Linked DNA regions of Drosophila melanogaster. The protein of the gene in region 2 interacts with the protein of the main gene of each other region in a pairwise test. Each region holds a gene or a part of one and is shown on either strand. Other genes may lie near its edges.

What was found. The genes of interacting proteins can lie anywhere in the genome.
Region 1: the proteins of CG15365 (region 2) and Lac interact in a two-hybrid assay, tested with the Drosophila melanogaster proteins (one large-scale study listed by BioGRID).

Annotation. Positions count from the first base shown.
Region 1 is NT_033778.4:12,451,546-12,455,299, reverse strand, and holds the start of Lac (lachesin), read right to left. Parts: upstream 2,111-3,754; 5' UTR 1,784-2,110; coding exon 1,246-1,783; intron 1-1,245. UniProt on the Drosophila melanogaster protein: Required for normal tracheal development and maintenance of the trans-epithelial diffusion barrier. Functions as a homophilic cell-adhesion molecule. May play a role in early neuronal differentiation and axon outgrowth.
Region 2 is NC_004354.4:9,066,250-9,070,003, forward strand, and holds the start of CG15365 (uncharacterized protein), read right to left. Parts: upstream 1,735-3,754; 5' UTR 1,259-1,734; intron 1-1,258. Other genes in the region: CG10970 (uncharacterized protein), read right to left, coding at 3,505-3,754.

The sequences.
Region 1 (3,754 bases), on a different chromosome or scaffold from region 2:
ATGTAACGAAGCCCAGGTAGGGTGTGTCCGCGAGTCGGTTCTGGGTAATGAGTAACTCTCGGATTAGTTACACTAATTGCTTTCCAAATGACGCTGCAATCTTGTTAAGGACAGCCATTATGTTTTGCCCGAGGGTCGGAGTTCAGGTAAAGATCGCATCGAGATCGCTATGGAACAGCAGCACCTGTATGGGATTAACCTAGCGAGAAGATTCTATTGTTCCATCTACCTGGGCACCAAATTACTTTAGTGTTTTATTAGCTTTTCTCTTCCTTTCGAGAATTTCTGGATGGACAAGTAAACGCAAACAATTTGTAGATAGCATTTGCACTTGTCCGAAACGGAGTTTCCCGAGAAATATGGACCGTTTTCTTGGAATGGGAGGAACATAAAGAAGGTGAAGAAAAATAAATTTATTATTTCTGGCATGTACATATATAACCCCCCCATTTGGGTTTTTCCAAACTCGTCAAGTGTATGGATAAGAAATTTCATTTTGCGCAAATATCGATGATACATTATTCTAATAATCAAAAGAACATGTATTTATACAAAAGCCAAATATCATACATATGTACGTGCTGATTTCTTCAAAAGTAATGAATAATAAAATGGATTTAGAAAGAGAGAAGCTAGAATTGAGTTCCTTGCTAAGTTAAATAACAATCAAACTTTTTCGCACAACTTAATGTATTCTTGAGCTAACAAACTTGCTAGAAATTAGATTTTCCCTTGTTATTTGGTTAGACCTCTTTGCGAAACAATCTTCTAAGGCCCAACAAGGTAAACAAAGGGTAGCATGTGTATGTTTTCGAACGACAGAAGTTGGAAAACGGCCTAAAATGAAAAATCAATCTGCTGTTGCGAAACTCAGCCCTCGAAACAGGTGGGGGGTGGCAGGGCAGGGCTAGACCCCGTTTACCAGAACAGCCAGCCCAAGCCGAGTAAACAAAACTGAAAAACTAAGGTGACGCCTGAGTGAGTCACGGTCACTCACACTGGAGCCCAGAGCATCGAGCCCAGTTAAAAGCCCCCATTCCCAGCCATCCCAGCTAAAACCTAATGCCAAAGCGGGACGGACAGAGCTACCTGACCAGAGAGCGGGAGCCAAGAGAACGGAGAGAGAGAGAGAGCGAAGAGGGAGAGAGAGAAGTGGAGAACGCGCCCCACCAAACGAAAGCTGACTTAGCCAGCGTACCCAGCGTAACCCAAGATAATCACCCACAAATAAATGAAGAAACTCACCAGTTGGCAGAATGGCATTGTTCTCGCGCCTCCAGGTGATGGTGGGTGTGGGATAGCCGCTGGCGTAGCACTCCATCTGGACCTCGCTGCCCTCGCTGGCCACCACCGACTGCGTGGAGTTGTCCGAGATGACGGGGGGACGGCGCACCGATAGCTTCACTTCGGCGCTCACTTTGTGAACGGTGGAGATCACCACCTGGCAGGTGTAGGTGCCCGCGTCCGTCTCCTGAATGTCCTTGATCTGCAGCTTGTAGGTGGACGAGTTGGGATCGTACCGCAGCGAGAAGCGCGAATCCTTGATGACCAGCGTGGAGCCCGTGGAGAGGAAGACGGGATCGCTGTCCGTCTTCAGGAACAGCACGTTGTACTCTTTGGCATACTGGACGGAGCAATCGAACTCCACTGTGCCGCCGATATCCTTGATCTGCTCCTGCGTGATGTAGGATATGGTCGGGGTTCGCTGTGCTAGCGTTTGCTGCACAAAAATGGCCAGGAGCAGGGTGCTCCACACGCAATTCGAGATACTCGGCCGCCACATCTTAGAAATTGACTTTTAGCACCACACCCTGCAAGCGCGCGATTTAATATATGTAGTGTTTCTCAAGAGCTGCGCTCCAAGATCTCAATCTTCTCCAAATAGGGTGAGAGCGCGGCGAAGACGTCTCCAAGAAACCGAAGACAACTATTGCCGTTTCTTTCTTGAGCACAGCAAACGCGGATGCTGAACTGCAGTCTCCACACTTGTCTTCTCGCTCAGAGCTGGTTTCAGACTTCTTCTCTCGATCAGTCACGAGTTTTGGCCAAGACGGAGATAACGCGCCGGAGAGACAACTTCACAGTTCGAAAGTCGCGAAACGAATGAATCTCTGGCTTTGAAAAGTGCGCCATCAAGAGCGCAACTTGCCTGGAGATGGGCACCTTGAATGTGCCTAAATAAAGACAGTAGTGTTATCGGTATGCAACATAGCTCAGACTCAAACCAGAGATAGCATATGGTTGATATACTAAGTGGAGACACACACTCGAAAATCAGATGGCAACGCCATTCCTCTTGGAACCAATGGCATCCTCAAATTAATTTGAAATTTAAAATGAAATTTCAAGCTAGTAACTTCATTTCAAAATAAAAACGTTCATTCTTTGTGATTGTTTAAAATGCCTTTTTATTTAATTTTCTCTTTCTTGTTATTTTATTCAGTAGTTATGTATAAGTTCTATAAATGTCGGATTTTCTCTATATCGTGCTCTATGCCGTTACGATTATATGGTATAACTTTTTTGTATGAATGCATATTATAAATGGATAATATATAAATCGTGTTTAGTTTTTCGTTTTAGTGTTCAACATTGGGCTTCTCTTTCATGTGATTCAAATAGTTGTTGGCTTTATCGTATCTCAAAGTGTATAATGTATATATATATATAATGTAGAGCATTTAGAATTTGATTTTAGGTTCTCAACAAGTTGCTAGTTATTAAGTACATAATATGTCAATGTCTATATCGTATTTGTATTACGCATTACGTGATTTGATTTTCCATTTGTTAAGTTTCTTGGTAATAAATATCCGCTGACGGGGGCGCTTACACAATCTAAAAGCCAATTACGAATCGCGGAAACCTAAAATTAAAACACCATACCTCTTATTGCCCTTTAGCAGTACGATCGTAAAAGTTTCAACGAGATTCAATGGTTTTGCGACTTCGAAGAGCAGTGCAACTGCAAGTCTTTTTTATCAGCTATATTCATATCTTTTGCTTCAGTAAAATAATCATATAGATGCATATATCCGTTTACATATCTGTGTTTTCTGTGTAGATAGCAATCTTCAAAGTATAAATTATAATGATTAAGGTAGTGTAGGCTACGGCTCAGTAAAATAATCAATAAATAAATTGCTCTAAGTCAACGTATGAGTTAAGGTAAGGTAGAAAGCTAAGCGAGAATTCGTCTTCATCCATCCAGCTGCCTCTGGAGATTCCCAGTCCTGCGGTTTCCACTGGTAGCCAGTTCTTAGTTCTTCTGCGAATTAAGACTCCATTGTGCAAACTGCTCCTGCCATTGGCTATTCGCATTTGCCTGTGGAAACATAGAAATCTGTATTAAAATAAGTCATCGAAGCCTCATGTTTTCTCTTTAATCGTACTCAAGATCTTTGGCATGCAAGGCAATTGGAAAGTAGCAATCACTACACTAGCTACAGGATATATAGATATATATTCGAATTATGTTTCGGATATCGAGTGCATGTACAGAGAGAAATAGATAAATAAGGATAGACAACGGCAAAGAACAACATCTAGATCAACAGTGAGCAGGATTTCATGGCGAAATCCTTTACCTTTTCATTCCACTCTTGGTTATACGATTGAGATTCGTCGAAATCTGAAATTGATCAAGTTTGCGGTGAGCATATGTATTATCGGTATCATGGCTCAAATCAAAATCAGACAATTTATTCGAATCCTTTGAGTCAAGCAGCCAACGTGAATCAAATCTAGAGACTAA
Region 2 (3,754 bases):
GATAATGATGCGGCAGAGTAATAATAATAATTTTTAAAGGGGCCTCGAGGAGGGGCCAAATCCAAACGAAAATTGCTCTCAACCCAAAAGCAGATTGCACAGTGAACAAAAAATCAGGTCTTTGTCAAATATATTATAGAATATTATTCTAAATAAGTAGTATTTCACTTACAAAAACATATTATATTGCCTTCTGTTTACTGCATTCACTAAGGATATTCATAAACTTTATATATGAGTATATTTAAAATAAAGATCGTTTTTTAAGAGGTATCTAGGGGATTGTTAGTGATCTATGTATTTCACTTGCATATTTATTAGAACCACTTTATTTTTCTGCACTTGACATTTCAACATAAAATCGCTGAATTCCGTCGGAACGAATTAGAGATTTTCCAGGTAAAATAAAGCGATTTAAGGCCAAGTGCAACTGGCCAACCCAACCCAGTAAGCAACTCGGCCACTTCGGCGACCATTATCCATTATCCATTATCCATTATCCATTATCCATTCCCCCCGGGTAGAACCCGCAGTTTCGGATAGGTCAAGTATATGCGGCACTTTATGGGCTTTACGAGTGTAAAAAAAAAGCAAAAAAGCAAAAGATTGAGAAGAGAAAAGAGCTCAAAGACAGATACTTGCTTATTTCTAGAGGCTGACCAGAGCATCTTTTTCATCTTTTTTTTTCATATATATATATATATATATGTATATATATCTACTTTTTTCACCAGTTTCGTATATATTTTCGCTGTAGTTTTTGTTTTTTGCCTGTGGGGCCAACAGGTTCGCTGGCAGTTGGGAAAAAGTCAAACGGCTCAATAATCGAAGACGACGGCTCAGAGTTTTTGAGTCCGCGACTCCGAACTTCAGCTCTTTGAGTCCAGATAAATGAGGACAACAACAACAGCGACAACTTTAAAGAGGTTGTGCGTGTGCCTGTGTGTGTGTGAGCCAGCTGGGATAGGCACACTGTGCGAAAAGAGCATGTACTACTTTGTTCTAATCAAGCTAGGCAGGTCGAATTCAAATTGATTTTAGCACGTTTTCAATTTCAAATGCCACATAATAAATATATTATTATGTTTAAATCTTACAATTTTCAACATATTCTATTATTTTCTGTGTACTCCATTCGAATTAAAAAAATCAGCGAAACCAAAATAAACGAAAAATCAGACAGCAACAAGAAAAAAAAAATACGAAAATATTTTAAGCCCAACGAAAGAATAACAAATGAATGGAAATATTTGCTCACCTCTTCCTTTGGTTTTTAGTGCCTTGTAATCGCTGTTGTTGACTCTTCAAATGTGTGTGTTTTTATATTTTGTAAATTTTCTTGGTTTTTTTTTTTTTTTTGATATTTGTTTATTGCTTGCCCGCTTGATGTGGCTGCATTATATTTCAGCTGTTGCCGCTGAAAGCCAACGGAAAGCAGGCAAGTTTTCAAATTTGCACAATGAAATTGATTTTACAACGCGTAAAATTCCACAAATTATGCACGAAATGCGTTTTGAATTGCACTCAGCCACCACACTCGAAAAAAAGGCTGCCATTCACCGCTCGCCGCGAAGCGTAGCCCAAACCCCCCCAAAAAAAAAAAAGAAAAACTAAAAAAAAAAAACCGTTGCACGCCTGCGCTTTTCAAAAATCTTCCCAGTTCGCTTCGAAACTTTCATCCGCAACGTTGGCCCTCCGTCGACGACTTTCGCGTTCCAGCGCTCAAAGCAAACTGAGCTGCAGAGCGTCGGAATTGGAAGCAGCGAACGGCGACTGCGACGCGACTGCGGCGCGCCGGCGATCAGAGATGAGAGCTTAGCTTTTTTCAAAAGCTTATAAAAAAAAGAGTCATCTTCGAAATGACATTCTCATTCGATTGCAAACGTTTATGTGTACGAATTACTTGAAAATTGAAGAATATAACTTGTACTTTAGAGATTCATGCAGTTATTTAACTTGTTGGCTAAGGATTCAATCACTTTCATAAGCATATTTTCCAAAAGATCAATGTATTGTGTACTAAATGTAGTAGCTGTTTCTCATACTCTTTACTTTTTATAACTTATAATTATACTAATTATGCTTCTATTGGTGTTATGACGTACAGTCAGCACTGATTGCTTGCGAATCGGATTGGCAATCATTGTCGCCGTTCTTTCCGGTTTGCTGGCGTTGCCACAGCGCTGCAATTAAGCGGCTAATTCTGATTTTGGATACCGATTCGGATCCAGACTTGGGATTCAAACATATGTATAAACATATATGTTCGCGGCAACCGCATTAGTCCAAGTCGCAGTCGCCGCCTAGGTTAATTTCCCTCAATTTTGTGGCTTTTCGCATATAGGTTCATTGCTTACATTCATAGATACACAGCGAGAAAATTGTATTACTTACAGATAATTCTTTAAAATATTTAATAGTATTTGATATTTAATAGTATAGTATTTAAAATTTAATAGTATTTAATATTTGGTTAGTTTCTTCACTGGAATATATTTGAACCTTAAGATTTCTCAGGAGGAAGGATTTTTATACCAAGGATTTTTTAATTTCCTCTGTGTAAAACACACTTGGCTACCTGTTGCACACACACACACACACACAAATTCTAGTAATGGCCGTCCGCAAATTGACCCATAAAATTGTAACGTTGCTTGAGCCAAGATAGTTTAGCTGTCCATATATCACTGCAGATACACGACACTGGCCTACAAAAGAACACTTTGATAATTCCCCCCGATGTGCAGTGTTGAGATGGTAACGTTTTGTGCTTAGCCGACTAAGATGATCTTCTTAATATAGAAAAACTAAACTTCAAATCTACCACTTCTCACTGGCCTGTTAACCAGTGCTATTTGGTTGAGAAGTCTGGAACTCAGTGAATCGGCAGTTGTATCCGCGAACGCATAAATAACCATCCGTGGCTATATGTTCGCTGTTGTCCAGTGGTACACCTTCATCGTGTCGATCGAGGTGGCGATCAGATTCTTCGATTTGCATGCCAAACAGCCGGGAACATCGCTAGCTTACTACGAGTATATGCATCCGAGGCATGCGATTCGATTTGATATCCGATCGCCGGCGGCGATGGCCACAAGGTTATCCCCTCCCACGGATCATGGACATCATTAGCTCATTCGTCACGATCGCAATGGGTCCTAGAACCAACGATGGAGTACTCGTAAGTGAGAATCCATGGGTCATTTGGAGAATTGCCCAGATCCAGCAATCGCAACAATAATCATTCAATCCACAATGAGCCCATGAAAAGTTTGGCATTTTCATACAGGTTCTTCTCTTTGGGAAATTGCTTGTTGTATAAATCAGCTCTTTAGGAAACTCTTTTGAATTTGTGATTATATAACTGTGTAATTTTTATTTGGAAAATACCTTGTTATATCCATACAACAAAAATATTAGACAAATCATAATGGATAAAACTTTTGATAGCCGTTTTAAACAAAATTATGCATTGGAAATATTTTATTTTGTTTGATCCTTTAATCACTTTAGGTTCACCTTGATTTCGAAGGTCTTGTAGGTGTATTCCTGGATGACTTTCAGATTCTTAATAATGAACTCCTTGATGGCCTGCACGTAATCGGCGGCGGCCAGGATGAGCTTCTTAAAGGCATCGATCACCTTGCCCTCGCCCTCCAGACGACCCTTGAACTTCTCCTCCGACACCTGGGCAATGAATCCCCGCAGTCCCAGTGCATTGGCCTGGACCAGTGCAAACAGCTCGAAAGCATCC